3 linked regions of the Caenorhabditis elegans genome follow. The protein of the gene in region 1 purifies or fractionates together with the protein of each later gene. This does not show direct contact. Each region holds a gene or a part of one and is shown on either strand. Other genes may lie near its edges.

Region 1 (10,299 bases):
TTGTCTCAGAAACCATCCAGAACACATGTAAATATCATTATAGGTTTCGCAAATTTCAATTAGGATTATTTTCCTTCCTTCCTAAATATTCTTTGTTCGCGTTCTCTCTTCTCATCTTTTTTCACAAATTACGAGTTTATTGAGTTATTTTTTTATTGCGTGGCACTGTGCAATGCCTCGTTCTAGCTGCATCACACGTCCACAAAATTGTATTTTTATAATTATTTTTGTGTCAAAATGAACTTTATTGCAATTTTCGAGATATTTGTTGAAAGCATAACCTATAAAAAATATTCGACGAATTGAAGATAATTGGTCTGCTAATTATTTAGCAGAATCAAGTATGGTCTACTAATTATTTAGCAGAATCAAGTATGGTCTGCTAATTATTTAGCAGAATCAAGTATGGTCTGCTAATTATTTAGCAGACCAAGATTGGTCTTCTAATTATTTAGCAGACCCGTATCTCAGCACAGCGCCACAAAATTGTATTACTATAATTATTTTTGTGTCAAATTGAACTTTATTGCAATTTTCTAGGTATTTGTTGAAAGCAGAACCTAATTTGTGAAACATATGCACCAGTGTGAAAAAAAATTGGTGAAAAGTGACTTTCGGATTGGCAAAAACATTTTCGGGGGTCGTGAAGAAATATCATATCACAGAATACGGAATACGTGGCAATGTTAGGATGAAAACTGAGAAACTCGAACTATTTACATCTACAGGGAGGGTATGGTGAGCAGTACTAAATAATAATAAAAAATGGGGGAAGCTGTTAGAAATTTACTATATTAGGGATGGGCGGCAAGTCTTCGGTATAATGACCCAATTTTTTGAATAAAAAAATAAAAAAATAGAAAAAATTTCGATTAGTTTGAAAATAACATTTATTTTATTTAAAAAGGTTTTCAAAAAAAAAAGTTATTTTCAAACTGATCAAATATTTTTCTATCTTCCATCACTTATGTTTTATTGCCGCCCATCCCTACTTTAAATGCTATTCAACTAGATTGGTAAGGGCATGAAAGGAGTTGAACAAAAAACACGACACGCCTAGAGACGGAATTATTGTTGTTTCTTCCAATAAACATCAAGGAATTCAATAATACTGTCATAGATCATGAAAGTGATTCCGACGTCGAGGCAGACTCGAGAAAGACGAGGTACTGTTCCCTTGTAGAAGCTGAAAATTGTTTTAATAATATAAATCTGGAGTTAATTATTCCAAAACTCACGCGAAGAATCCTTCTTTCTTCCAAATTTGCATTGCACAATCCAAAGTATTCTTGTACTTTTTCGCTTCGAGACCTTGCATACGAGTTTTCACTACATCAATCGGAGTATTTCCATAAACAGAAGCAGCTCCAGCAACTGCTCCCATAAGTCCGACGATTGGTTTTGAGATCGGTTGAGTATTGTCACCACCACGATACCAATCTTTGAGAGTTTCCATTACAAAGAATCGAATCGCTTGATTGGATCCTTGTTTGGCCATTGTTGCAGTAACTCCTTTATATATACCACCAAGTCCTTCTGCTTTTACAATACATCCAACTCCATGCACAAATCCTTTGTATTTTGGTTGAGCAAGTCCTTGATCATGAATAAATTTCACTTTTACAGTTTCCATAGGTGTTACTGCAAATACGGCTTCAGAGAGACCAGCTCCCAATCCACAAAGAAGTCGCATTACTGGAGATAGATTTCCTCGTTCATCTGCTGCTTGAGATTTGAGATATTCGAATGTTCCGAATCTAGAAAATGTATTATTTAGAGCGTTTTTTCGGAAAATTCGAAAACTAGATTTCAATTTTGACAATTTTTCTCTAGTTTTAGAAGTAAATTGCACGCTTTCGTATTTTTTTAAACTACAAAAATTGATACAAAATTTTAAAATTGTTGAAAAATTTCGATTTCCCGGAAAATCAAATGTTCCGAATCTGAAAATTATATTATTCAGAATTTCTGATAATTCCTAGTTATAAACAAGGATGTCACTTCTCCGTTTCTCGATTGCAAAAAAATTCGAAAAATTAAAAAAATTTTTTTTGACCGATCAGTTCTGTTTTGACAGTACGAAAGCGTATTTTCCATACCTGAATGAAGATTTTGGAATAGATCCGTAGAGAAGAACAGATAATCCTCTGTAAAGACCAAAGAATCCATGTCCATTCACTGTTTGTTTTACACAATCAATTGGTCCTCTGAATTTTGGAGTAGCAGACCGTTCATCAAGTTGAAGTTGTGTCTTGACATATTCCGTTGGGAATGTAATACAAATCTCAATACCACCAGTGATTCCTCCAATCACAATTCCACGAACCGTCTTCTCTGAAGGTCCGTATTGCTGCCACATTGACAGAGGCCTGGAAAAGGAAAAAATTAATGTGAAAGTGTATGGAAATTGGCTCACTTGGCTCCGGGCACTGGCTGAATTCCGCTCATTTCTGTGAAGACGTGCGCGCGGAGATGGGGACCCTGCAAAAGATAGTAAAATCAAAAGAATTCAGGAGTAAGGAAGAGAGATTTCGTGCAAAAAAAGAAGAAGAAGAAGCTTTTCACAGATTCAAAAAAGAAGAAGAGGCACACAAACAAAACCGGCAGAGAAAAATGAGAAGGAGCTGGCGGAGATGTGAGGAGAAAGACGGCCGGATGACGAACACGTCAAGGCGCTCATAGGGAGCTGAAGAGCACGAGGGGCGACCGGAAAAATGCAAGTAGGGAAGGAAAACGATGAAAAATGGACGAGGAGAAGGAGAAAGTCTATGCGTTGGCAACTTTTACATCTAAACAAACAAATAAAACTGAACTAGACCATTTTGGATTGTAGTGAACGAATGAGCAAGATTTTAAAATTAACGGTTGATTTTTTGGAATTAAAAAACCAAACTTTTCTCAAGCTTCTAACAAATTTTATAGCTGTTCAAAACCTCGAAAACAATGAAGTAAAATAACGTTACTATTTTTTTTAATGGACTATAATTTACAATTTGAAAAGTTCGTGAAGTGGAAAACTGAAATGCGATCCATTTTCCTCTCAATCAAAGAATCATGCCACTCTCTTCCACTCCACTCGCATCTGAAACCAGAGAACTATTCCAGAGTTCGCCGATAAGACGACTGCATTTTGAGGTGGGGTGAGGTGGGAGAATAAATAAGTTGAAAAAGAATTTTAATTTTAGAATATTCTTAGATTTAAATGAAGCAAATAGTGTTTCGACTTCATGACCTCCACGGGCGAGTCACAAACAAGTGAACCATCGATTGAAAATAACCTATTTTGGAAAAGAGAGGAAACACACGAAATTGAATAGAGAGGGACAATAACAGATTGGTTAGGTTCTGTGATCATTGAACAAAATGAACAGTTTCGGTCAGATTTAGAAAAATTCCTGTAATAAGACGATTGTGGGAAATCAGGAAATTTTGATAAACATTACGATTTTGGTTGAGGCTCAAGATTTTGGGTGAGGCTCACCATTATCGATAACCATTAAAAAGTCTCAATAAATACTGGATATAACTCTTTAAAAAATTTTAGAAATTTTCTAAATTTTTTCAAAGAAAAAGGGCTAAATTATTTATCCCGCGCAAATTGATAACCTAGTTTTAAATGTTTTGCGTTTTCAGACATTTTTCCTCCAAAAAAACCAATTACTCTAGCCGGAAATAGTGCAAAATTAGGTCTTCTTTTTTCTGGTAAATTCTCATTAAAAATTAGAGGAATTCTATACATTTTTTTACTGTTACATTTGGTAAGTATATTGGAACTATTTTCTGTCATGTTCTGGGAGAAAACTACAGAAAATCGAAAAATTCAATTTTCATCTTATGAAAACGAGCTTTTGTTTGGCAAACATCAAAAAATGAACTTTTAACGGTCTCACGTATGACCTGATCATTTGCGCAGACACCTAGATCAGGGTCTCTGGGATATTTCATCCAATTAATAGGCGGAGTATAGCTTGCAAGGGCATCGGAACTTTTAAGATATTAAATATGATAAGAATGATAAAAGATGATAATTGAACTTATTGGAAAAGAATGACAAATAATTCCTGTTTGTTCAAAGGTAAATAAACAATTGAACAAAACACACGAGAAATTAGGGTTTTTCGTGACTACAAATCGAGGTCAAAAAGGAATGACATAAGTGACAAAAATGTATTTGATAACGAAATTACGATGCGGCAGTAAATGGGCAAAAAAAGAGAGCTTGATAGCGGGAATCGATCCAAGAAGGAAACAATCGGCCCAAGGTTATTGCAGGAATGTAGAGAAAAGATGGATGGTAACTGAGAAAAACGGATATGAAAGGACATTATTGTGTCGCATCAAGAACTACACGTGGGCAGAATAGAGGGATATATTGGAAGATAACTATAGTGCCTATAGGCTAGACAGGGGTCGATGATATCGGAAAATATTGAAGGAAATCCATAAAATGAATAATTCGAGGTAATTACTAGACTAGACTAGGCCTGAATCCGGAACAAAACATTTTTTTTTGAGATCGAAAAACGAAAAAAGTAAAATTTTTTAGACAGAAACACGAACATTTTTGGTTGAGGCTAGGAATTAAGTTGATGCCAAGGGTGGCATTTTTCACTTTTTCGATGTTTATACGCTAACGGAATTGCACACCTGGAATCACTCCGGCCAGCGGAGCGCACTTGCACACCCCCGCTTTTCTCACTGGTTTTACTCCAGCTTGTATTCTTTAAGGGTGCCTTCATAAGGAACGTTCGATTTTCATCGAATTTACAAAAAAAAACTTCACAAAGAAAAAAACAAAAAAAATTAATAAAAATTTTGGAACTTTTTTTTTCAATTTTGGGACCTGACGTCTAAGCCTTTTATCAGAGCTTTTTGAGGGGCTAAAAGTTGTCAAAAAATAAGTTTCATCCGGAAAAAAAAAAAGAAAAGTGAAACTTTAACAAAAAAAAAAAGAAACACCCTACATAGAATCGAACCAAATAGTGTTTCTACCAAACGGAGCGCGCTACCCACTGCGCCAACTGAACACAGAATTTCACACCATTCTTGGTGAAGATATAGGAAAGCCGCTGCAGCCGCTGTAGTTTGAGAAAAGCGGGGGGTGTGCAAGTGCGCTCCACTGGCCGGAGTGATTCCAGGTGTGTAATTCGGTAATCCAGATGTTTATCAGGAAAATCAAATAATTTTTAAAAAAGCGAATTCAGCTTCTATTTTTTCACGACTTTTCGTGTTTTCCTAATGAAAATGGAAAACTTAGAACACAATCGTACTATTTATTCAATAAAAACATAGGAAAATGAACGAACTGATTTTTGAAGTTATTTATCAGAAGAACGGGATTTATGATTGTTTTTAAGCGTTATTGAACTGATATTCAATTTAAAACGCATTTACAAACCTACATATAGCCTTTGAAATAAAAATCAAAAGAAATTAAGTAAAATCATGAGAAAAAAACGAAAATCTCCTAAAATCTAAAAATGAATTTGTCCGAGAGTAGTACACGGCCGAGGATTCCACAAATCTTATTTTAGCGCGAAATTCAAATTAGATAAACGAAGCGAATGATTTTCGGCACTTTGAATCCTCTAAACTTCTTCTGGTTGAGGCATTTGTGTGACATTTCGAGGATAATAAATTCTTATTTTCAGTTTTGTCGACAAAAGGAAAAAGGAAAAATAATAAAATTCACTTTTTTTTCGTAAATTGAATTGTAAATTGAATCTTGAATTTTACATTGGTTCGTTGATCATGAGAAACATAGAATAGTATTACATGATAATCAAACTAGAAACAAAACAATAGCGCTTTGAAAACAAATTTTAAGAGGTCTAGAAAAGTGTTTCCGTTGCAAAATTTCACAAAGCCGGCCGTTTCTTCAAACATTTACTGAGAAAACACAAAAAACAAGAAATCAAAAGAAAATTAAAAAATAAAAACGCCAATTTCTCTGAAAATATAAAAATACAGTAAGAATATTTAAGCACGGCGCTGTCTTCTTCTCCCGAGAAGAGTCGTCTGACTGATGCGATGTCTCTGCGTCTCCACTCTCTCATACCTGTTTCAATTGAGCGCACTTGCAATTTCTTTTTTTAATGTTTTTTTCTTTTTCTCTGGTTTTTTGATTAATTATTTGTTTCCTTTTTCCTTTTCTTCAAACTCTAAGATTTTTTGAACATTAAAAATACAAATAAAATACTTAATAATTTCATATTTTCAGCAAAATGTCCGGAGTATTAAACCGAACTCTTTCGCAAGGAAATTCCATCATCCGGCAACTTCTTGCTGTCAGAAATCCCATGTGTCAGGAAACCGCTGGATTTAAAGTTAGTTTTTAAAAAGTTAATTAGTAGTTCGTCGAAAAGCTATTCAGTTCAAAAATCAAGCTTACAGACGAAATGTGAAATAAAAACTAATAAAAATATAATGTGAGAAACCCCCGCATTTTAAAATCAAAAATCATATTTTTTCTCAGTCTGGTTTTTTTTTCTAAAACTTTAATTTTCAGGTGAAATCGCGTCTGAAGTTGCGTTGCCGCAGTTGCTACTTTCTTCGTGTCGAGGGTCGTCTTCACGTAGAATGCAATGAGAATCCCCGGCACAAGGCTCGTGAAGTGTTCGATGTGAAGAAGCTTTGGTAATCTGTCGACTTGTTTTGTTATTTCTTTATTGTTTTAGGCCACTGTAGCACTAATAAATTTGTATTTACGAAGGCTTTTTTATTTTACACAATACTTTATTCATTAATATGGCTCTTTTTTAGAAATTTTAGAAGTTTTCATTCATTTTCTCTTCGATTTTCATTCGTCTCAATCTACTCGCTCGATTCTCCAATGGCGTTTCTCCAGGACGAGGTGATGGTGTCAAATGATTCAGTCTTGAAGCACTGTGGGACTTCAGTGGCTGGAATAAATGTTTTATTGTAAAAAGGCGCAAGTGTTGATTCTGATGGGTCCCGGCGCGCAAAAAGTTTACGGTAGTCTTTTTTTCGGAAAAATTTTTTAAAATAGTGGCTAAAAGAAATTTTATTCAGAAATGCAAGAAAAATAAACGAGGAAGAAGCTGAAAATATTTAAAAAAAAAAGACTACCATAAATTTTTTGCGCGCCGAGACCCATCTGAACCAATCTGTGCCTTTAAGAAAGCATGTCAAAACGATTATGGAAATACGATATTCTCAATTTTATGACAGACACCTCTCCCAAAATCGAGAGCCTCAACCAAACTATTCACAAACCGTATTAATTGTTCTGTTGAGCACATCTTCCAGATACATCGAGTTTGATCTTCTCCACGGAGTTCTAGTAGATTCCACTGTGACAAAAGATTTTTTAGCGTGTTGAGTGGACGAAGCAAATCTTTTAGGTTTCTCAAAAGATTCACTAGATGCTGAAGCAATTGGTGACAGTACATGAAGATCCGAGAACAAAGAGGTTCGGCGACGATTGAAAGGAGACGCAGACAATGGCTCGTCGAGCATCATCGAATATTTTGTAAATGAAGTTGGAGAAGCTAGTTCTGCTCGGGCTTTCTCAATTTCCTCGAATTCCTCAAATTCGATAATCTCATCTTCTTTGTTTTTCTGTTCTTCAATAATTGGTCCGAATACTTTTTGAAACTCTTCCACAGTTTTTACACCAGATTTTTCGATTAAAAGTAGAGCCGAATTTTGTAGAATCATTTTGTAAATTGCACAAAGTTTCGGATCTTTCAATGCACCAGGAGAAGCTGAACGATGTTGAGATTGAGCCCATTCTTCTGCCTTAAAATAATAAAAAATACGTCTGCTTAAAAATTAGAAATCATGAAACTCACTTGTTGTACCAAATCGTTCATTTCGCTGTTCAAGTTACTTTTCAAATTCGGGCTCAGCTCCATTTTTGAGCAGTCGAGCTTAAATCGTTTAATTTCGAAACGTTTTAAATTAAGAATTGATTATTTTTTATAAAAGGGGGGATAAAACATTTCAAGATGTATAAACAAGATATAAAGTTCACGGATTTCAAAAATTATTAACTTCAGTTGTTTGAAAATGTTTAATTTCGCAAATTAGAGAAAACGTATTGTGCAGCATATTTGACGCCCAAAATATCTCGTACCGAAAACTACAGTAATCCTTTAAATGACTACTGTAGCGCCTGGGTCGATTTACGAGCTGGAGCAGCGATAATCTATCCTCCTTCGTTTTTTAGAATTATTTTCTCATTATTTGCTTAACTTTAATATTCTATTCATAATAAATTGTGATAATAAATGATTTTGATTCATTCCAAAAATCGAGACCGTAAATCAACACTACAGTAGTCATTTAAAGGATTACTGTATTATTCAGTTTTTAAATTCAATTAGGGTATATAACAATGAAAATATTCATTGAAATTATGATACTTTAACCATTTTTGAAATATTTTTTGTGTTTCTGCCAAGAAAAATGCAACACTGAACCACGACATTACTTATTTTTTGTATCTCATTAAAATAATTTCGAGAATAAAGCTTCAACAGTTTTTATTCAAATAAAAAATATTAGACGATCTTTTATTTATTATGTGGAACAGAGATCCGTCGTGAATGTGATAACCCGTAATGATTTGAAGACGATCAGTTGAAAATTGTTAAATGATGTGATGAATGTGAATGTTGTGCAATTGAGAGAAAAGATGCTCTCATCGGCCTGGACGAGCACCGATTCCACTCTTGAAACCACTACGATAGTCTTCATAAATGTTTGCTAATGCACCATTTCCATTTGTATATGCTGAAAATGTATTTAATGAAGACATTGGTTTGGGTTACTGTAGTTTCTTTTTAGAGCTTCCTACAAGCAAAAATACCAATTACTCAGTTTTTAGCCATTTCGGAAATCTACCAAAAATGACATTATGGCAAAACTTGGCATATTTTGCAAAACTTTTTCTTGACAACTTTGTAAGATTTCAAAAACTGTGGGGATGATTTATAGTTAGACTAAAATCCAAATTTCAAAATAAATCAAAATATAAAATATTTCAAACTTACATCTTCTCAACTTCTCAATCTTTTCCTCCTTCTCTTCAATATCGTTACTTAAAGTTTCCACGACTTTTTCCAAAAGAGCTTGTTCCTCTTCAAGCATTTGCAATGATTTTCTGGAAAAAGATACAGTTTAGACGTCATTTAATACAAATTAATTAAACAAGAAAACAGTCTAATCGGATTAGGATGGGGGACAAGGTGCACCAATTTTCGTGGAGACACTCCGGTTTCGGAGAATTTCGTTGAAACATGGGACAAAGTTCGAGTGTGAGGAAATATCATTTCAGAATGATGAGAATTCTAGACTAGAAAGAATTCAACTTTTTTGAAAATTTTTCTAAAATTTGAAATTTTATAAACATCCGATTATACGGCATAGGAACACTGTCGTATACCGAAATACCGCGGTGAGACCTAGCCAAAAAAAAGCATGTGCCTTTAAAGAAACATTTGATGATTTCAAAAAATAGTAATATTCAAACTTTCATTCTTCCCTGTCCCCTTGGGTTTTTGAAAAGTCGAAAAACTTGTCATTAAAACAACTCATATAGAAAAACAAGTTGAATGTGTACTATTTCGTTACACCCTAAACATCGGTTTACGTGTTATAATCCGGCAAGAAAGGGAATAAATAGAGGAAGAATTTCAAAAGTTCCAAAGTCCTAGTGATGACCATGAAATGGACGTACTGTGAGCCGATTACCCGGGGGGACACAAGAGTGCTTCTATCACGCATCGCTCGAATTCTTCTCGTTTCGCTGAAAATTCATTCGAGTCAGCTGCGTCTAGAAACGTGACTTTTAGAAATATATTACAAAACAGCTCATAAAAACTATACAGGGACAGAAAGATTAAATGATTAACTCGCGAATATTACCTAAATAACAAAGTATATATTACGCACCCGTCAATTGTGAACTTGCGCGTAAAATATGATGTATTGGATTTCACGCGCAAATTTGAAATTGAGTATGAGAGACTTTGATTTAAATGATAGAAGAATGACCGCTTCTCTAGCACTTTTTTTTCGAATTCCCGCGCAAATGTTACGACCCATTTTCCATCATTTGAATCAAATTTCTCACGAATAAATATAGCTTAAAACTGTAAGTGCACATTTTGTTCCATCACATACTACATATTTCAAAATTAAACCTCATAAAAGTCACAACTGCATTCAATAGAAATACGAGAAAAAAAGTGATTTCAGTTTGAAAAATGGTTTGTCACAAAAATACACAAAAATGACGCATTTCCGACTACCAAAAGACGAGTGGAAGTGTAT
Region 2 (10,989 bases), on another chromosome or scaffold:
GTTCTTTGATTCCGTAGTACTGAAAATAACGAGAAGCGGGAAAAAGTTTCAATTACGAATTTTCAAGTCGTCTAGAAATAGTGAAATTGAATTAGACTTTGAATGAAGAATCTAGATACGTGAGAAACGGAAAGATGCTAAAATAGTGACATGTCTTACGAATTTGGTGCAGAAAAAGAATTAAATATTTTTCAAATCGTGCGCATGTAGGTCTTTCTATTTTACAAAACTATTATTTTGGGGATCTGAAAAAAATCTGAAAAAGAAAAAGGATTTAACCCTTACATCATATTTATATCGAGATAATCAATTAAAAATAGATTTTGTTACGTTTTGAGCATTAAGAGTTTTTTGTTCATCTGCATCTTCAATTAATTTCAATTCCAGGCCCCAGGATCACAATTCAAGGGTGCACCACTCCAATCAAAACGACATATTTCACCATCATACGACGTAGAAATCGACGCTGGAAACATGAGAAATTTGTTGGATATTGGCAAGAGAAGTGCTCCAATGGCAAGCGACTATGGAAATCAGTTCCAGGTGAGATTATAGTTGAATTTTCTTTAATGACCCTAGAGTATCTATAAGTGTAATTTTATAGTAAGTTTGCTCGGGAAAGTGAAGCACAAATTTTTAGTAAGGCTTTTATTGTAAACGCGCATGGTTGTAGTTTCCAAAAAATGTGGAAAAGTTCTTTATATTCAGACTTCGCTCTTGTTTTCCAGAATTATCTATTCTGAGTTCATTTTTCATCCACCCACACTATCCATTCCATCGCCAGTTCTTTTTCTGCTCCTATCCATTCGTGATTTCATTCTTTTCATCACTTCTCTTCCTTTATTTCATTTCCTCCATTCCCCATATTCTCCGTTGTTACTCTAGAATTAGAATGCATACATTGAAGAAGAATATTCTGTGCATCTTTTTTTCCTAACGGCAAAAAACGGAAATGTATGGGCGTAGAGGATTTGACATAGAAATGGAGCATAAAAGTTCAATTTCCTATGGGTGACGTGGAACACGGGTGAAGAGAAATACTAGATGTTGCGACGAGAGAGACTAATGGGATAATTGGATAATTGAGGCGATGAATTATTTTTGTTCTGATTTCTTCATGTTTTTGAGCTATTTTTGAACTTTTCAGTTGTAAAAAATATGCGCAAATTGAATTGATAATGCGGAGTTACCATGGCTATTTGAAAATTTGGAAAATATATTTTTAAAATTTTAATGGACCTCGGAAGTCATAAAATAAAGTTTTATTTTCTGGAGATACTTGAAAAAATATTTTTCCAGTCTTTTTTAATTGAAATTTTTTTGTTACCCGTGCCGTAAAACAATTAATTTTTGACTGAATTCTTCCGTAATTTCAGATGTACAACCGTCTGATCGACGCTGGAAAGAAGAAGAGAAGCCCTGCAATTTCTCCAGCTTACCAATTTGAGAATGCTTTTGGACTTTCGGAAGCTCTGGAACGAGCCGGACGTCGTTAAACATCAACAAATAAAATACCATACCAACGAGTACATCCAAATAGACAATTGTTTCCCAATAAATAATTTAAAGTTTTGCCCAACTTGGCCGGACTTTCAGGTTTGCCTGAAAGTTTGTTCATACATCCCTCTCCACCTCCGCCCTCTTCCTATTCATGACGAGAATAAAGTGTTTTGTTAGACACTACTACCACTTTAAAATTAGTATATTTATAAGAAAATAATCATAATAACAATGGAAAATAATGAGCTCTTAAGAAAATACGAGCAAAAAAACCGGAAACTTGATATGCTCCCACCCACGCCAAAAATCATGGGAAAGAATTGAAGACAAATAACAGGAAGTTTGGTGCAAAAATAATTGGGATATATTCTCCAAATCCGGGCGGCTCGTCTGAAAATCAAATGTGAAACATTTTTAATCAATGTAGTACGAAAATAAAGATTTTCAAAATGAACTTTTTTGGCAAATACTGAAATACTACCTTGTGTTAATACTACTTTTGCTTGAATACTACTATTGCTAGAATACTACCTTTGCTAGAATACTACCAAATTGCTAGAATACTACTATTGCTAGAATACTGCCATTGCTAAAATACTACTTTTGTTGCTTAAATACTACCTTTTCAGAAAATTTTATAATTTTATTCATTTTTTCATTGGAATTCTTATTAAGTACTATTTCTGGTCAGATATTTTGAATAAGAAATAATTAACACAGCATTTTTTATTGTAGAAGTGGCTTGATCGGTTTTATTTAGGGATCAAATTCGAGAGTATTCATTTGTAGTGAAATTGATTTAAATTCAGCTGTAGACCGTTCTCAAAAAGTAACTCCGCTTTTAGTTGTTAGCTATTTTTGATTGAAATGGTTGTAAAACAACAATAAACTAATTGCAGAATTCAAATATTTCTTCCCAGAGTGAGGTTGTAAATACCCACACTCGTTTATAGTTTTACGACTACATATCGTCTCCTTTTTGTTTTGATGACACACAATTATGGCTAACTGATTCAAACATATAGCTACTAAAGTATTTCACTTTCAAACACTATATCTACAAGCAAACATATTTGCTTATCAATATCAGCCATATTGGACACCTTAAAAACATATCCCATCTTCAAACTCTCACGATGGCTGAAGAAAAAAATTTTTTTTTTTAATTTTTCAATTTTTTTTAAAGTTTAGGTATTAATTTGCTTTGATGTGTCTAGATATTAAACAGCTATTTGATATTTTCATACATTCTTGTTGTCGCATGTTGATGATGCTCAATCTCAAAAAAGGCTAGGAAAAGTTATTTTTAAATTTGACCGTCGCTCACTTAAGAAACTTTAAAGTTAGAAGAAATAAAACATTACAAAATCAATAAACATGTTAAAAGCTACATTTCTTCAGTTAACCATTTTCATGTATCTCTTTTCGTTGCTGAGCTACGTTGTGTTTATGTACTCAGACGCTGTTAAAATTTCACTTCATATTATTCCAAACTCTAGCCTGTAGCTCAAATTTCAGTTGTCTAATAAAAATGCTGTCAACTGACAAAACATTTGTCGCACTATTTGGCACATTTGGTTTACTGCGAATAATGTCAAATGGTGTATTCTTGCAGACTTGCAGACATCTTGCAGACATGGGGGCCTGGAATACGAAAAGGGATCTAGATGTTATCTGCCAACTTTCAGAATGAACTGAAGCTTCTAGACCGCTTTTTTTGTGTATGAACTCTATAAAATTTTCAAAGAAAAAGCTATCCCATACGTTGAAAACAAAGTTGTTTTGTACTTTTCCGCTTCTTTATTTTTCCCACATTAATTTTGCACAAAATTCACTCTATAAGAAATTCATAAAAACAATAAACGTAAGGAGAATGCTATTCATTGATGATCCTGAATGGAATAGAATATCAAGCATCTTATCCAAAATTTTCTTAAAAGTTCAGAGCATAAGGTGTTCTACAAAAAATTTAAATGTTCCAATAGCCCCAAAAATAGCCGTTCGAGAAAAGTGATAGATAGACACTTTTCAGGATACTACAAAGTGGAAAATTGACGAGAAAATTTGGGAAACCGAGTTTAAATTGGTTCGAAATAGTCGTTTGGGTGAGCACTTCGGTGAGCAATAAAACAAATTGTTCACGAGAACCAAAATAGGATATTCTGAATATAAAGATCTCAGGATGTATACATTTCGGTAAGAAAAAGGATTTGGGGACTGTGAAAGTTAGGAAGGGATCCTAGGTGTTTCGATGTTTGAGCTGAACAATCACAAATTAACATTTCTGGTCAAAGACGAGTTTCCCGTGCGGTCTATACATTTTTTGTATTATTGAACAAAGGTATGTTTTCGGATGTTTTGCATGTAGGCAATTGCATAAATATTCGTTCAATATCCGAAAAATTCTGTAAATCTTGGTTCTTTATTATGCTTTCTAGTCCGTGTGACAGTACATATATCGTAACTTCACTAGATTTTTAAACTCCTTCTTAAGAAGTGTCCCAGCGCGCAAAAAAGTTTATGGTAGCTACCGTAAACTTTTTGCGCGCCAAGACCCATCTGAATAAATCCGTGCGCCTTTAAGAAGGAACGTCAAAATCTAGTGAAATCACGATACAAATTATATTTTCATTCCAATTGTCATTATTATTTTGAGTCAAAATTTAACTCTTCCGGGTTCCCGCAAAGTTCAAAAATCCAAAAATCAAACGCTTGACTACACTATTAGAGAGTGCATGAAATCGAGAGACACCGACATTCCATCGGGATATCGGAGTGTCGTTTGTTTGGAAACATTTTTTTTCGAAGCGATTTTTTGATTTTCGTGAACAATTTCTAGTTTTTGTAGGGTTTTCGAACTTTTTCTAGTTTTGTCAAAAGAAAAACTGATTCATTGATGTGTTATCAGTGATCTTAATTTGTTCTCTCATCTCCTCGTGATTCTATTTTTGAGAGAAATTTGAGAAAAATGTTTTGGAAGAACTGAAGGAGGTGGAGCACATAGAACATTGAAAAAGCATTCACATGTGAGGTTTCGATAGCTTTTCTTTTATCATTCACTGAGTTTTCTTTTTGATTTTTTCTCAATTCAATTGAAAAAATATTTTAATTGTTTCCATTTTTGCAGAAATGTCCTTGAAACTGGCCAAGCAACTATCTAAAAGTTCAGTTATTTCCCTCTCAAGGTTAGTGTTCTTCTACAAAAGTCGATAATTTTTTGAACTGTGATTTTCAGGCATTTCACAAATGGGCCTCGTCTACCAACAAAATTATTGCACGCAAAACCTGGATTCGTGCCAAAATATGTATCGGCAGATGAAGCCTTGGCGATGGTGAATTCAGGTTTGTATCCGAGAAATTAAAATTAAAAATCTCTAAAATTCAAATTATTTCAGATTCTGATATCTACGTTGGAAACCATGCGTCTGCTCCCAATGTTCTTCTCGAAGCACTTTGTCGTCGTGTTGATTCGGCAAATCTCAACAATATCCGAATGTCTCATCTAATTTTAAGCGGAAATTGCCCACAATTCGACCCTAAATATCACGGTGAGTCAATTTCAAGTATTTTAATTTTTAAATTTACTGCTTTCAGGAAAAATTCAAAACAACAGCCTGTTCATTTGCCCGGGAAATCGTAAAAATGTTAATTTGGGCGCCGCTGACTACACTCCGATTTTCCTCTCTGAAGTTCCCTCTTTATACACAAGTGGAACATTGAATGTTGATTTTGCACTGATTACTGTCTCTCCACCTGGTAAGAATTTAAATTTGATTAAAAGTCGCCATAAAAAAAAAAGCGAAAACAGGGTTTTGTGATTAACAACTTTATAAAAATTAAAAATTTGTTTTTTTTTCTATTTCAGATGAGCTCGGATTCTGTACACTTGGAGTCGACATTGACACAACACTGGCTGCAGCGACTAGTGCCAAAAAAATTATTGGTAAAAATAAATAATCAATAAGTTGCAAAAAAATATTTTTTCAGCCCTTGTCAACAGCACAATGCCCCGTACCCGAGGCCACACTACTGTCCATTCTTCTCATTTCGCTGCAATGGTTCAAACGGATCGACCAATCGCTTTCCGTCAGTCTGGTGGAGAAGAAATGTCTGAAACCGAACAAAGAATCGGAAAAATAATTGCCGAGAACCTTGTCGACAACGGAGCCACCCTTCAACTCGGCATCGGAGCAATTCCAGACTCGGCGTTGGCAGCGATGAAGCAGCACAAAGATCTTGGAGTTCACACGGAAATGTTTAGTGATGGAGTTATTGATTTGATTGATCGTGGAATTATTAATAATCAAAAGAAGGCTTTTATGCCAGGAAAAACTGTTTCCTCGTTTGCTTTTGGAACAAAGGAATTTTATAAGAAAATCGATAATAATCCAGAGTTTTGTAAGTTTTTATTTTACCAATTGTAAAAGTGATTTTAATTTTTTTAAAAATAACTTTAGAACTGTGCAAGGATACCACAGATATCCGTTTTTGCTGTTAAAATTAATTCAACGATTTTTTAAAATTTTTTAGATATTTTTTGTTGGTTTTATGAGCGAAACAGAAAAATCGGAAAAATACAAAAATTTTGTAAAAACGAAAAAAATTCCAAAATTCAAAAATGTCCCGATGAGGGAAAAACGAAATCTCGAAAATTTGGAAAATTCCGATTTTTCGAATTTTTTAAAAATGGAAAAATCGAAAAAAAAATGTTCAGAAAATTAACCATAAAATATGATTTTTATCTAATTTTGTTTTTTATTGATAATAAATAAATAAATAAATTGATTCTAAAAAGAAAAACAATGACCAAAATTTTAAGCTAATTTTTGAAAAATCGAATTTTATAATACAAATTTTTAAAAATTGAAAAACGAAAAGCCTTCGATTTTTCTTTTTAAAAACCGCCACCCTTGGTCCCAATTATGTGTTCATCAGAACCGTTACAGAGAAAATTGTTTTTTTAATCAGAAAAATTTTTAAAAAATTAATTTTCAATTTGGATCAAGAAATATATCAAAAAAAAATTGTAACTACAGAAACCCAAAAAAAAAAAAATTCGATTTTTTCCATCTTCCAACTAAAAACCCAATCATACTTTCAGATTTTGCCCCATGCGACTTCACCAATCATATCGACATCGTCCGCCGTAACAGTAAAATGACATCAATCAACTCAGCGATTGAAATCGATTTGACGGGACAAATCGTATCGGATTCGATTGGACGCAATTTTTTCAGTGGATTCGGTGGACAAGTCGACTTTATGGCTGCCAGTCCACACGGATTTGATGGACTTGGAAAGGCGATTATTGCATTACCATCGAGAACCACTAAGGGACAAACGAAAATTGTTCCATTCTTGACACAGGTTAGTTATAAACGGAAGCTATATTGAAGGTTAAAGTTCAATTTTCAGGGTTCTGGAGTGGTCACGACACGTGCACATGCCAGATACATCGTTACCGAGCATGGCATCGCCAATCTATGGGGAAAATCAATTCGTCAAAGAGCCTATGAGTTGATTCAAATCTCTCATCCGGATGATCGTGAAGCTCTCGAAAAGGCTGCATTTGATCGATTCAAAGTGATGCCATCTGCGTGAGAAGCGAATCAATTGCAGCTCCCTCAACTACTGGGTATAATGGTTACCGAGTGCCCGATTAAATCTAGTTTTCATTTCTTTGTATTATACGGTTCGACTTCTGATGTGTTTTCTTATTGCACATAGGTTAAATTATAAAAATGTTATTTTTGAAACTTCACACTACAATAATTTATTTGGAGGTTATCTGAACATTTTGAAGGAGAGTCGGGCGAGTGTGGAATCTACAATTATAAAACATGGATGTAATGAAAGCATACAGGAAAAGAATCATGAAGAAATATCAGAGGCAATTCTAAAGTTGACAAAAAAAAAGAGAGATGGAAGTGATCAAGTGGGAACAGTACACATGTGAAGATGGGGAGTGGTGGGACAAACACAATTAACCGATCACGATCACGTACAATTTTCAAATCACTTGTTCATCGATGTGGCTATCCGTGGTGGATGTTCGGATCGGAGCCCTGAAACCCAACACAATTTAAGAGGATTTTAGTGCTAATAGCATAGTAAGAATTACTCGACTACATAAAACGTTATAGTTAAAAACGGTATCTTACCGAATGTTGTGCATTTGGATAGGCTTGAATGATCAATGGTGGAGCAACTCCCGAAGATGGTGGAACTTGACTTGCTCTCTTGGACTCATGATCGATTCCACATTTAAACATATCGAAAAGCTCTTTCTGGGTTCCACCAATCGCCTCATAGGCAACTTTCCACAAATTGGAGGTTGAATTGTTCCGTCCCAATGCTAACTACATTGTCCAGCGAGCATTTTGATGAGGCCGGGGCATTCCAGTGAAGTCAGGAGACGAATTGTTTCCAGCCAAAAGGGGACGTTCTCTGAAGTGATAGGGTGAGATACCTTTGCTTGATCCAAGAAATCCTAAAATTACCTTTTTTCATAACTTTGTCTCCGTTCAAATGTCTCTAATCAAATATAAGGCCTACTATAGACTTACCAAATATCCAATTCTGGAACCATCCGCTTACAATCTCGCGGCAAATTCTACGAGATGCTTTCCAGTGTACGACGGATTAGTATCCATGAACATTTTCACAGCTTCTCGAGCACCGTCTGCACATTTTACATATTCCTCGTATATCGTGATGGCACGACAAACGTCTCTGAAAGGATTATATCATTTATTCGTACACTTTATTAACATTTATTGGTCTTTTGAATTAAAAAAGTTTTTATTATAAAGTTATTCACAATAGATTATCAAATTATTGCTTATCAACGGCAGCAACTACCGGCGCAGCGGCTTTGGCTCCGAATCGTTTTCCTCTGAAAAAATCATATTTTTGGGGAAAGGAGGTTGAAGCACTCCTACCGGAACACATTTTGAATTTTCTTTGCAGCGTCTTGAACTTGTGGATCTTCCAAGTTGATGTCGATTTCTTCCTGAAAAAATATATGTTAGCGGGCAAGCTAAAACTTTTTGAACTAGACTAACAAAAATATGTTTAGTTTATCTGGAATCTCACGTAGTTATGTGTTATGCTCATGAATTATAAATAGCAGTAGCGGAAATATTCAGAAAATTTCCAAGAAAACTTGATCAAACTGGAACATCAATAATTCTCATGATGTACTTAAATGTGTATGAATATTGTAGATGGAAAGTTGACGTTTGCAGCCAAATTCAATAATTGGAAAATGTTCGAATATCGTCTGCGAAAATCCGTGTGCGTCTTTATCAGTACGGTAGTTGTTAAATGTTCTTTAGTTTATTATCATTTTTATCCAAGGTAAAACATACAAGGATATTCAAAGAAAGAAGATCATAAAAATCAAAAAATTTCCAGAAAAAGTTGAGGTGTATTTAATAGGCGGTACTGTATTTTTCCAGTTCCCTTTCTCATTATAATTTCCAACTTCCCGGTGCAATTCGAAAATGTTTGAATAAGGTTCTTTTTTTCTGCATCTACTCCTCCATCTGCTTCCTTTTTTTCACTTCTAAATGAGTTTTCCCTCCCCTTTCCGAATCCATTTGCTCGTGAGCGTATATTTATGCGAAAAGTGCCGAGAAACGGCGAAAAAGGACGAAGAAGAAGCAATTTGGCACACAATTCCCCCCTTACGCACATTTTCTCACTATCTGATGATGGGTGTGTGATGTTTAAAAAACGGATGTCTGAAATGATGAGAATCGTGAGTGAAGGGCTCCTGAGCCACCTGTCCTGGGAATTCTATTTTTTATTCTTCTCTTTCGTTTCAAAAACTAGGAAAATTCAACATTTTCGCTATGTTTGTAGCAGCTGCAAAGTTGCTATTGAATATGGTCCGCTGTCAGTTGGGTCGTATCACGAAAACAATTATTTTGGCACACCTTCAGTAAAACAGTTGTAGAAATTTGTCGGGTACTGTTTTCAGATAACTTCTTGCTATATGCAGAAAGACCAGTTTCCGAATTTTAAGATGAAAAACTGCCAGATTTTAGTTTTCTGCAACACACTTAACTAAATCTCAGCCATATTTCTTAGAATTTTCACAAACTTGAAGCATGGAAAACAATTTTTCATATGCCACCGCTCCGTAAGATAGAAATTATCTCCGTTATATGAAGTTTTTATAATGATCAGTTAGAAGTATGTATATCTCGGCATTTGTTGGAAGCATTCCCATATACTTTTTTTGCACAAACTAAATAATATTCCGGATAATATATGATAGTTTCTAAATACTTAATGAATCAGCTATCTTACTTACCCTTCAGTAAGCAAACCTACAAAAATGCTTATTTGAGAATGAGATAGACTTTTTGAATCGAAAGTTAATATAGAAACATAGGAAACTGCTTGATTCATTTGAAAATAACTTTCATTTTTATTAAAAAGTTTGAAAAAAGTGTCAAAAAATGCTTGAAAGTTGATGTTTGTCGAGTAAAAGCTAATTATATTTTCACAGCCAGTTTTTCAAATGCTTTCCAAATTAAAAAAAAAGCAAATTAATTTCAAATCAAATATTTCCCAATAATTTTACATTTATTTTGATTTTAAAAGTTAACATTTTTTTCAAAGTTTCTCGTACCAAAATGAACATATTTGCCAATGGTTATGTTGTATGTAATTCCACCTGCGCTTTTATTTCTCCATATTTTGTTTGAATTATTAATTTTTGACGTGACAACCGGCATTTTTCACCTGCTATTATACAATTCATATTCCAAAGAAAAAAAGGATGTAAACTACTGTAGCTCAGAAATTCATACATCGAGAAAGTTCTAGCTTAGACCTAACATTTTTCAAAGCTCAGCACAAAAGCTCTACAAATCCTCTTTGATTCCCATTCAATTTCACTTGCATCAAGAAATTGGCCATAAACCAACCTGATTGTTGGACGTGCTTCCCGCTGCTCCATTCTCCTGGGGAATTGTTGTAGTGGCACCGGAAGACGTCGACATTTCTTTTCTTCTTTTCGCCCTTTTTTCCTGAAAAAAATAAAGAAAAGGTTTTGTTTTCGGATGGAACAAAAGTTTGTTTAGAAACACTTTTGAAATAATATATAAGGCAACAAAAAAAGAAGAAAAGAAGAAGAATTGATAAGGAAAAAATGTGAGAAAGAGACCTCAAAAATAAAACTACAGTAATCCTTTTTCAAAAGCTTATAATACACATTCTCTACAATTTCAAAGGGAGAAGGATTCGTGCGGTTGGGTCTTGACGCGCAATATTTTGTGTGTGCCTTTAAGTTTACTGTAGGAGATTTTGAGCTGTCTTTGTCGTTTTTTTTTAACTTTCTGACTGTTCCCATTATTTCTCATACTCGTGAAAAACTATAAAATCATAAGACAATGAAGAAGAGATTTCAAAAACCACTACAGTACGCTTAAAGGTGCATGCCCAAAATATTTTTGTGAAATGAAATTTGCGCGGTGA
Region 3 (11,309 bases), on another chromosome or scaffold:
ATCAAAAACTTATTTTCTAGTTCTATAGTTCTAGTTCTAGTTCTAGCTCTAATAGATACTAACAAGTGAGTGCTTGGTTTCTGACAGATAAACTTTCTGTGAGCTTATAGAATTTCCAATTGATTTTTTACTTGCACAATATCGATGTTTCTAATTAAATCATCACTGAAATTTCATTTATGAACAATTCATATATTTTGATAGGTTTCGCAAACTTTTTAAAATCATTTTTGATCAGTTGCTCAGTTGCAAAATGCTTTATTGACTAGTGGGCCCTGCGGGCCCGCCAGTTGTAGGGGGTGTAAGGCGAGTCCCCCTGCCGGGCGTAGGTTCTCGGCTTCGCCTCGAACCTGTTAGAGGGTTCGTGAAATTTTCAGTGGGTCAATGTCTTCTTGATTTTTGAGTTCGGTTTGACCAAAAACAGACGCACCCGATGAATCAGTTAAAGCTGAGTTTTGATTGATTGAAGTTTGAGGAGGATTTATATGGGGGGAGACGTACCCATATTTTGTATAAAATCGAGTATTACTATATAATATTCGAATCCCGAATACTCAAAAAAAAACAAAAATGTTTGTCAGTTGGTAGAATTGAACCCACTACCAAAATTTCCGCAGACATAAGCACTAACCACTCGGCCATGCGGGAGAGAGCTTAAGCTGGAAGTAAGGAAGGTGAATTTCTGGAGGGAGTCGTCTTTCGATTCCGCTTTCTTCAATAATTACATTTTGAGAAAAGGCGTTCGAAAACCGTTTATTACTGATATGTCAGCGGGAAAACGAATTTTTGAAAATTTTATTACAGGATTGTACTCATTATTGATTTCCCAAAAAGGAGACGTACAGTTGAGGGCTATATCTTGTACACAGACAGATGTATAGAAAAAAACAAGTTTTGGCCTGAAAATTAATAAAAATAATATCTCTTGGCAGAGTATTTCTAATGCGACGAAACTTCATCTTTCATTAAATAAAATCAAAAACAATGAATCAAAAATACATTCCGCAAAACTTTAGTGGAAAAAATGCTCAGGAGACCCAGGAAACCACTCCCCCCAGTACTAAATTTTTGAATAATTTTTTTCTTGAAAAATTTTCCCACTGAACTTTTTACAAATTTTATATGTCTCGATGCGTCTTGATGAGACCTACACGTCAATTTTTGGAAAACTAAGAAAAATTGAAAACTGACCGAGCTATGATTGAAAAAGTAGATTCACGAAAATGGAAAGTGTGCAAAATTTGGCACTTATTCGTCTTGCTCGGCCGACTCATAGAACTTTTTCCAATTCTGAGTTAAAAATCGTGTTCAGCGTACTTTTGTACGTGGAGTAAACAAAAAAATATCAAAAAAGATGAAGTAGAACTTGAGATAATGACGAAAAACTACTTTTTCGGAAAAAAAAATTTTTTTGGCAAAATGTCATTTTTTGGCCTTTTGTTTTATCACAACTTTTTTCCATTTGCACTTATGAACTCAAACTTTTTTTCAAAAAATCAGTCTCTCTGAGTAGTATCTTGCACATGAGTTTGACACAAAACAGAGCAAAACCCGAATTTTAATTCAATTAAAACATGCTTTTTTGGGGGTAAAAAGAGCAACAAAAATTTTTTTCAAACTGGGGAAAGCCGTCCTGGGCTCAATTTTGCTCCGAACTTAGTGCCGTTTTTTGCTCCACCGTGGGGCAAAATATTTCTAGTAGGATTTCAAATATTAGAGCATGAAGTCACACGGTTCAGGAGTTGTGAATGAAAAACGAAGTGTGACATTTTTTCGCAAGCCAAAAAAAACGCGAAAAAACGCGAAAAAGGGGCGGAGTCGCCACACTCGGCATTTATTAGAGGCTGCTTGGCAGAAATACAAATCAATTAATTGGATAGTTTGCAAGAATATCACCATCAACTCGATCATCACAGTTAATGCCGTAACCCATAATTCTTCCAGTAGGTGTGTATCCAGAGGTTTTCAATGCATTTTCATCCTCATCGCCAGCCGAAATTTTTACCTATAAACGGAAAAATTAAAAATTGGAAACTTAGAATTTGGAATCTTACTCCAACATTAATATTTTCCATTTCCCTAATGGTACCAATGGGAAATCACATTTATTATCATCGTTTGACTCGAATGCATAACCAAACTTTCCGAGCCATGTGACAGGAGTTGTTGGAACAATCATAGCAATATCCGTGCTAAGTCTAAGAAATCCTTGCTCTTGATTAACCCATTGGAATATTGTTGTTATTTTTCCACATTTTTCAAGTTCCTGCAGAACTATTTGACTACTAAATGCACATGCCTTTGTTTGATTAACTCTTGCAACACTTTGAGATTGTGGAACTATTTTCAAATCCCCTCCAACTGAGAATTTAGTTTGAGGGCGAGTACCAGCAGGCCTGAATAAGTCGATTGGAGCGGATTTGATATATTTAGGGACATATGGTGACGGAGTCGTAACATCATCTTCTACTTCTGTTTCAATTAGACTGTAATGCATTAATGGTTGGCTTATATAGAATTTAGCTGAAAACTCACGAGTAGATAGGTAAATTTGTAGGGATTGATATAGGCTCAAATGCGTAACCAAGAGTTCTTACAAATTTGTAGTGGATGCTCATATGATCTCGATACTGACAGCCGTAATATTGAGCTGGGAAATAGTTATTGGTGTAAGCAAATACTGAAAAAAAAAGTTATTTAACTCAAAATTAAGTTTTCAGGTTAGTATAACAAATCATTGCTTTATGAGAATGAGTTCTTACAATTGTCTTCTTCGGAAAAATATTCATTGTATTTATGCAATCCCACCATCCACTCTGTTGATAAGTAACCCGATTTCGCCACAAGTTTATCAGTTGAAGCTGGAGAGATCTCGAACTTAGATCTCCCTTCCCGATCTATTACGTGATACACAGCTCTGACCTTTTGGGGAAAGTTTTGGCACGAGTCAACACTACAGTTAAGATCTTTTAGAAACATTTCCATTGTGAATCCACGAACTGCGTTGAAAGATTGAGAGTTGAAGTCTTAATTATTTTTAGATATAAATATGAAGGGATATTACAAAATACCAATATTATTTAGAACATCCGATTGGGAAAGTTTGATGAAAAATACTGACTTCATGGGTGACGCATTTGTATCAGCGAATCGAAAGATCGGTTCAAGGACAATTTGTTGAATGACTCTCTTTGATTCAACATTGAAAAGAGCATAATTAAAAATTAGAAAAATGAGAAGCCTCATAATTTGTATTATAGGATCCGGTAAACTACCAAATCACAGAACAAAACACCTACAGTAAACTCGTGGCATTGTTATCATGTTAATGAACTGTTAATGCATATTCATCACATCTCATTTACAAAAGAAAGATAACAGGAAGTTAGAAAATTACATGGAATAAAAATATGAACACTTTGTTGAATGAGGGGTTGAAGAGGACGCTTTCAGCAATTTATGCACCGCAAATTTTTCGTATTCTTATCAACTTCGCAATTAATTTTCCATGTTGTGTGTTTTATTTTAGTTGTTTTAATCAATCAATATATTTTTTTCGAAAAACTATGGAAGATCTAATAATATTCCAGCACTATGAAAGTTTGAAACTACAGTATTCTTTAAAGGCGCACATCTTCCCGTATTGAATAAATAATTTTTGTTGAGACCGGTACCGTATTTTTGGCTTAAAAATAGCACAATTTTGCATGTGAGATATTAAGATACGTGCAAAGTTCATTTGCATTCATAAGAAATAGGTTTTGTCTTTTCTTGAAAGCAAACATGTCTTTAAATATTATTTTCCACAGCGCCTCAGATCGGGAGAGAAGAGCTAAAGAAGTGGTTTTGGCGCGGGAGCGCGTTTGCTGCAGACGTCGCACGAATTGGAATTAATGTGTAACAAAACAGTAAAATATCGCGTTTTTGCTGGATTTTAGGGATTTTAAAGCAATTTTCAACATGCGGGACCGCCCAGAGACTGTTCGCGATGCGATTTACTTCATTTTAATATAAATTTTCCCCCAAATAAGCTCGAAATGAGCTCTGAATTTCGGCGGATCTGAAAATTTTTTTTGACCAAAAACAGAATTTTGCAAATAAAAATTGATTTTAGAGCAATTTATTGCATAAATATTCAATTTTAGAATTTTTACTAATAGTTTGAATCTTTTTAAAGTGTTTTAGTCATTAATTTGACTGATAACACAGAAAATGATTTTTCTTTACAACGAAATCGATAAAAAAGTAAAGCAACATTTATCAAGGGAAATCTTGCAAAATTGGTTAAAAAACTTGTATGAAATCAAAGATTTCACTAGAATAAAGCTACAAATCAATCAAAATCACTAAAAGTACAAATAGTTCTGATCAAATTTCAATGTTCCAATCTACCAATGGATCTATGCCACGCCAAATTTCTTATGCAAGTGTTGCTCTCCAATTTTCCTTAAAAAATGGATCAAATACTCACATAAATGATCAAATTAACATTTTTTACAAGTTTCGTGTTATATTTTCTTTTTCTTAATAAGGAACCATCAGGTTCTTCCTGCCCTCTACGGCTCTAGATACCTCAACTTCGACAACTCCTATCTACTCGGAGAGGTGAGAGAACTTGTAGAGCACATCAAAAACTATGATATTCAATTTAACCTGCGTTTTTATCTTTCAAGATGGGGGAGTTAGACGTACATTTGTATTGCATGCTTTTTGTTATTCTACTGGCTGCTCTAACTCCCTCATCTTAAGAGATAAACACATGATTTTAACTAATTAGTATAGTTTCTACAATTTCCTAGTTAATCACTTTTTGATATCTTGCATCTCTGAGGAGATAGGAGTTGTCGAAGATACAGTATCTATAGCTATGCGCATATGAAGAATCTAATGGATTCTCATCATGCTATACTACTTATCATCTGCTTTTTGTGGGAAACAATGATTCAAAAATGTTTTTTCAAATGATCAAACAAGTTGTGATTTGATCTGAACATTTAGTGTTGGTTTAGTGAAGATCAGCTGCCAACTAAACAGTTTCCGTTGATGTGGGCATTTTTGAACAATTTCAAGACGTGAAACCGTGTTATCTCTATCAAGCTGACGTTTAAAAATTGGAATCAAACATATTAATGCTTGAAAAAATTTGTTTCGCGTAGAAATTTTGTCATAAAGTTAACTTGTTCTAGTCGGTTCGAAAATCAATGAAAAAGCAGCCAAATCGTGAATTTGTTGAATAAAATGTTTTTTAAAACTTTTTTAAAGCAATAATAATCCCAATATTTAATTATTTTTTCCAAATTTCATCTTGAAAACTCGAATAATCGCGAAATTTCGTCTGAAACTCATTTAATACCGTAAAAGTGTGCAAACGCGCTCCGTTGGACTTTCCTATTCTCGATTTTCTTAACTCTCCCGATTTGAGGCGCTGTGTTTTCCTGTTAAAATGCGTTTGTCAACGTTGACAACTCAACTACGGTTGCCAATGCGTGTTTGCGTACACACTCGATCCCACGCGCAACTGCATACGCCGCGTTGGTTTTAATTCCATCTTTTTTAAATTTATTTTCGGCGTTTGTATTGATTTTTGCTGTGTATTCCTTTAACATGAACTGATTTTTGTCCATGATAACTTTTGAACAACTTAATATTCATTATCGCATTTTTCTTACATTTATTTCCAGGTAATCATCCGAACAATTATGAAATCTCTAGTTATCTTTCTGTCAGCTATCGTTCTTGCCCATTCTCTGAGGTTCTACGTGCCACCAAAAGAGAAAAAGTGTCTGAAAGAGGAAATTCACAAGGTAAATACTTTTACAACTCCTTGTTACCATAGCAGTAAAGATGTCAAACATACTTTTTTTCGTTAAAAATTGATATATTTAATAAACATCAGAATTTATGTCTAATAAAACCTCTTGCAGAATGTGGTCGTAACAGGAGAATATGAGTTCAGTCAAGGAATTCAATACACTGGAAGTATTCACGTGAGTAAAAATAGTTTCAAAATTACTTCAAATTTTTAATTTATTTTCAGGTCACCGACACCAGAGGCCACACTCTCTACAAACGTGAAAACTTTGCTGATCTAAAAGGAAAATTCGCGTTCACTGCTGACGAATACGACATCTTTGAGATTTGCATTGAGAATCATCCACCAGCTGGGCATCCTGGAGAGAAGCGCGAGGTTTCTCTTATTTTGAAGCACGGAGTCGAAGCCAAGAATTATGATGATATTGCCAAAGCCGAGAAGCTGAAGCCACTCGAGGTTGAACTTAGAAGATTGGAGGATATGGCTGATTCAATCACCAAAGATTTCGCATTCATGCGCCAAAGAGAGGAAGAAATGAGAAATACGAACGGTAAGTGTTTAAAAAATCATTTGAATCATATAAAAGGTTCGTAATTATTTTAATTTAAAAATAATGCATTGCCGATTATCCAAGTACAGTGCTCCACATAATGATACGGCCACCCCCAAATTTTGGTATAACTCAAAACTGGGTTGAGATAGCAAAACATAATTTCTTGTGAAAATGTCCGCTGTACTGGCTAACTTTCAGATAAGTATTGGAAATATACATGAACCGTTCGTAAAAAAAGATAAACCATTTTTTCATGAAAATCCATATAAAAAAATCCACAAAATGATACGGCCACCCTTGGTTATTGTTTTCTTTTTTCGTTTTCTTTGCAATTTTTTTTGCTAAACGTTAGGTTTCATGTTCGTTTGTGTTTTTACAGCTATGTGTCGTGGAATAACTTTAACTGACTACGGAAAAAGACAAATTGTGCAAAATTATCTCAAGGCTTTTCGGATCGTCAGATTTCTCGTGATTTGAAACGTTCGAGAGATATGATCATTCGATATGCTTCAAATCCTGCCGCTCATTGCACCAAACAGTCTTCTGGTCGCCCACCACTTCTTTCTGGTAGAGACAAGCGAAAAATCGTTCGTCGAGCATCAAATTGAACAGTGACTTTCTCAAAAATTAGGCGCGAGATGAACCTGCCAGTGTCTGTTGAGACTGCACGACGTGTTCTTTCGAATTCCCAGTTTATCAAAAGACGAAAATTGAGAAAGGCTCCTTTCATTACCGAAAAAACCGCTAAAATCGTATTCAGTTAGCTAAAATCAGCCAGAGAACTAACTGGAGACAAGTGAAGATTACCGTATGATCATTCAAGCCCAATTTTGGTTTTAGTTCATCTTTTCTTCTCTCAAATCGTACCAGTAATCACGGTAGCCTTCTGGTTCATCACAGTTAAACTTTTCCTCGTCACTGAAGATGATCTGAGACCAATACATGAGCTTGAATGATCATACCGTAATCCTCACTTGTCTCCAGTTAGTTCTCTGGCTGATTTTAGCAAACTGAATACGACTTTGGCAGTGTTTTTCGGTAATGAAAGGAGCCTTTCCTAATTTTCGTCTTTTGATAAACTGAGACTTCGAAATAACACGTCGTGCAGTCTCAACAGACACTGGCAGGTTCATCTCGCGCCTAATTTTTGAGCAAGTCACTGTTCAATTGGATGCTAGACGAACGATTTTTCGCTTGTCTCTACCAGAAAGAAGTGGTGGGCGACCAGAAGACTTTTTGGTGCAATAAGTGGCAGGATTTGAAGCAAATCGAGTGATCATATCTCTTGAACGTTTCAAATCACGAAAAATCTGACGATCCGAAAAGCCTTGAGATAATTTTGCACAATTCGTCTTTTTCCGTAGTCAGTTAAAGTTATTCCACGACACATAGCTGTAAAAACACAAACGAACATAAAACCTAACGTTTAGCAAAAAAAAATTGCAAAGAAAACGAAAAAAGAAAACAAAAACCAAGGGTGGCCGTATCATTTTGTGGATTTTTTTATATGGATTTTCATGAAAAAATGGTTTATCTTTTTTTACGAACGGTTCATGTATATTTCCAATACTTATCTGAAAGTTAGCCAGTACAGCGGACATTTTCACAAGAAATTATGTTTTGCTATCTCAACCCAGTTTTGAGTTATACCAAAATTTGGGGGTGGCCGTATCATTATGTGGAGCACTGTATTAAGCTTTTATTATCATTGTTAATTAAATAGATTTGTAAGGCTACAACATATCGTTTCGAGACGCAATTCATTCTCTTCACGGAGCAGGATATTGTGATCCCTGGAAATTGTTTACCACTTTACTTGAGCAAACTCTAATTATTCGATTCATCGACAACCATCTATTTTTTACTTTTTTTTACAGAATCGACAAACAGCCGAGTTCTTTACCTGTCCATCTTTTCAATGCTGTGCCTTCTTGGTCTTGCCATTTGGCAAGTTCTTTTCCTCCGTAATTACTTCAAGTCGAAAAAGCTTATCGACTAGATTTCCCCAACCCTTAATTTATGATTAATTTATCAATTTTTTTTTCGGTTCTCCTCAACTTCTTGCTTTTCCCCCAACATCTCTTTTGTCCACACACCCAAACGTTTCATGTGATTTCTAATTGGTTCCCACATCTTTTTTACTAGATAATGATGATAATGAGTATTTTATTTTGTTGGATTTTAGTTGTTTCCTCCCCCGTTAATCTGCACAAGTATCAACAAAGGGTAAAATGTATAGTGTGTAATGTTTCCGTCTTATTTTTCTGTTTTCATCATTGCCGTTTTTTAAAATCATTATTATGAACTTTTAAATTGAAACATTGAAACATCAATTGGTAATTTACTCACCATATGGTGATTTAGTAAAGTACATAAGATCACTTTTCAAGAAGTCTTTTTCAGACGTCATCCTTTCAGAAATAACTTCAGACTTCATTCTCCACCAGTTCACTTACAACAATGATCGGTCTACATATTTTCCACTACGCCGGCTTTTTCGGAGCACAAATCTTCAATACTGTTCTGGCAATATTAATTGTGAAAAGAGCTGGAAAACTGTTTGGTAGTTACCGTCATGTTATGTTTGTATTCACATTTTGTTCGATGTTGTACTCTGCAGTAGAGATAATTGCACAGCCGGTACGATACAATAGAAAATTGGAACTTGAAATTGAAATTTTGAGAATGTTACTTCAAATAATCGTCTTTCAGGTACTATACATGAAAGGTCCAATGTTTGTCGTGTTTCTTGATAATAACGTTTTTTCTCAAGGCATTGGAAATGTAGTTGCTTGTTAGTTTTAAACATTTTACTTTTCATAGAACTCTTAAACAAAAAATGAATTTCCCTCTTTTTTTGGTTATTGAAGTGAAAACAACAATTTACAGGTCTTCATTGTGGTACCTTTGGATTTTTGATTTCTGTATTTGCGGCACAGTTTTTCTACAGATACATTGCATTGTGCAGGTTTTCTTGAATAGATTCAACAAATTTCTGATTGAAACTCTTTTCAGACAAAGTCTGTTATCTTATTTCGATGGATATAAAATATTTTTGATCTTCATTCCATGCGTAATTACATACATTCTCTGGTTTGAACTTGTCGTTTGGGGAATGTCTGCGACTATGGAAAAACGAATCTATTTGAAGTTAGTGATAATTTCAGCGTCCATGAGTAGTTCAGTAGCTTTTTGAAAACGTGGCCTCTAGACGTGATGAATCAGTTCTGACACCTAATTTCAGAGATGATTTTAAAAATATGTATGAATCAGATTCAATGATGATATCTTTTATTGCTCCGTTGTACTGGAACAATGGACCAAATAGAGAGAAAGTTTGGAGATTTAAAGATGCAGCCTCTGCACTAGTCTGTACTGGAATTATTGTAAGTTGCCATACCAGTTTTGCCAGAACACAACTCATACATCTGCTCTGTGCCTTTGTATAAATAGAAATATCAAGTAACAAACATTTAGGGATCATTAACAACTTTAATTTGCTTCTTCGCGTTACGAATTTATCTAAAAATGCAAAAAGAAAAAGGTCATATGAGTAAAAGAACTCTGGAATTGAACAGGCAGCTTTATATAATGTTATCAATCCAGGTATGTTTTCTAGATGATAACATATATTTTAAATATTGAAATGTTAAGACTATTGTCCCATTTATAACAATGTACATCCCAGTGGGTCTTTTCATTGTTCTCCCATTTTTTGATATGGGATTAGGTGCGTATGTGAATTATCCCAGTGCCAGTATGTCTTTGTATCCTGCAATTGAACCATTAATTGCAATTTATTGTATAAAAGACTTCAGAAAGACTATAGCTAGTAAGTTTAATAAGTATTCTTATCGTGAGAATTATCACAAATTTCAGATTTCTTCCGGAGAGTTCGTGTTGGTCCAAATGGCATAAGTGTGTACAGTACTAGTGGAACACAGATGGCAATCAAATAAACAATCATATTTTAAGTATAACGTTTCCTACTATTTTTGCATGCTCTACTTTTTTTTAAAAATAAAGTTCATATGACTATATACATATATGAATATTTTCATTCTGGTTCTTTGAAAATATGATAATACTTGATCTCAATAGACTTTAAGGATCGATCTAATAAAAATGTTACTTGGAATACAACTTACTAACTTGTAAAAAACATTGGCTTCAAGTTTTCTGAAATGAGAAAATTATCCCTCGAATGAAAGTAATCACAATTTTTTAAATATCAAAGTTCTCACTTCTCTTGTAGCCTTCCCGAAAGAACTATGAACACAAAAAACCAACTTGTTAGAAACCTACTGCCAACTTTAGTGATAAGTAAACAAAGAACAGTGTGGTTACAAGTTTCCGTTCGTTCTAACGTAAATATAACAATTGTCGCTAAAGCTTCAATCGATTTGTGCTCGGGTGCCTGCAACTTCCCGTGGGGTGGTCTCTGAATCTCTGCACTCTCTCAATTATAGTCTACTTTCCCTTGCCGACTTCCCCATCTTTTTGAGTGTAATTTCACCTTGCTGTTTCTTTTTCTTTTTTTATTTTGTGTGCTCCTCAGTTAATTATAAAATGGAGGAGAATCCTCTTCAATGTACGATTTGTAAAAATGTAAGTTTAATTATGATTACTTGATGTCTAAAAGTAACTTCGATTAAGGAATTCGAAGAGCCAATACTTCTCAGTTGTCAGCATACAACATGTAGGAAATGTTCAACTGGATCACCTAGTTGCAAATCATGTTCTCCAATACCATCTACATCAAGAAGCCATACACCACATCCAGACAAGTTGGCTGCCTTTTTACTAGATGCTTCAAAGGAAGAAATGGAAGAATGTGCAAATTGTGAGCAGGTGGGTATTTACAATTGTTTGTCTACATATCATATTATTTTGGAGTTGAAAATTTAAAACTTGTAAATCCTAATTTTCAAATAAGTTTCTCCT

What was found.
Region 2: the proteins of K11H3.3 (region 1) and ZK1320.9 fractionate together in Caenorhabditis elegans (co-fractionation; one large-scale study listed by BioGRID). This does not show direct contact.
Region 3: the proteins of K11H3.3 (region 1) and tmed-10 fractionate together in Caenorhabditis elegans (co-fractionation; one large-scale study listed by BioGRID). This does not show direct contact.

What each region holds. Positions count from the first base shown.
Region 1 is NC_003281.10:9,844,036-9,854,334, reverse strand, and holds K11H3.3 (Putative tricarboxylate transport protein, mitochondrial), read right to left. Parts: upstream 2,482-10,299; 5' UTR 2,449-2,481; coding exon 2,417-2,448; intron 2,370-2,416; coding exon 2,100-2,369; intron 1,758-2,099; coding exon 1,239-1,757; intron 1,187-1,238; coding exon 1,069-1,186; 3' UTR 501-1,068; downstream 1-500. Other genes in the region: gpdh-2 (putative glycerol-3-phosphate dehydrogenase 2), read left to right, coding at 1-31; mrpl-36 (Ribosomal protein), read left to right, coding at 6,225-6,326, 6,509-6,640; K11H3.2 (uncharacterized protein), read right to left, coding at 6,768-6,902, 7,237-7,761, 7,815-7,877; K11H3.5 (uncharacterized protein), read right to left, coding at 8,666-8,757, 9,018-9,127. UniProt on the Caenorhabditis elegans protein: Transport of citrate across inner mitochondrial membrane.
Region 2 is NC_003280.10:9,680,352-9,691,340, reverse strand, and holds ZK1320.9 (Acetyl-CoA hydrolase), read left to right. Parts: upstream 1-4,627; 5' UTR 4,628-4,629; coding exon 4,630-4,685; intron 4,686-4,735; coding exon 4,736-4,842; intron 4,843-4,895; coding exon 4,896-5,048; intron 5,049-5,094; coding exon 5,095-5,256; intron 5,257-5,365; coding exon 5,366-5,443; intron 5,444-5,487; coding exon 5,488-5,898; intron 5,899-6,601; coding exon 6,602-6,867; intron 6,868-6,915; coding exon 6,916-7,101; 3' UTR 7,102-7,253; downstream 7,254-10,989. Other genes in the region: nlp-11 (Neuropeptide-like peptide 11), read left to right, coding at 388-543, 1,377-1,496; ZK1320.13 (Purkinje cell protein 4-like protein 1), read right to left, coding at 8,335-8,395, 8,442-8,512, 10,440-10,514.
Region 3 is NC_003283.11:11,321,337-11,332,645, reverse strand, and holds tmed-10 (GOLD domain-containing protein), read left to right. Parts: upstream 1-5,681; 5' UTR 5,682-5,699; coding exon 5,700-5,804; intron 5,805-5,924; coding exon 5,925-5,987; intron 5,988-6,037; coding exon 6,038-6,362; intron 6,363-8,242; coding exon 8,243-8,364; 3' UTR 8,365-8,681; downstream 8,682-11,309. Other genes in the region: F47G9.6 (DUF1968 domain-containing protein), read right to left, coding at 2,002-2,005, 2,055-2,486, 2,536-2,680, 2,763-3,026, 3,072-3,246; str-141 (Serpentine receptor class r-10), read left to right, coding at 8,826-9,005, 9,078-9,159, 9,255-9,333, 9,381-9,515, 9,610-9,751, 9,843-9,971, 10,020-10,197, 10,245-10,324; F47G9.4 (putative RING finger protein 207 homolog), read left to right, coding at 10,935-10,973, 11,022-11,216.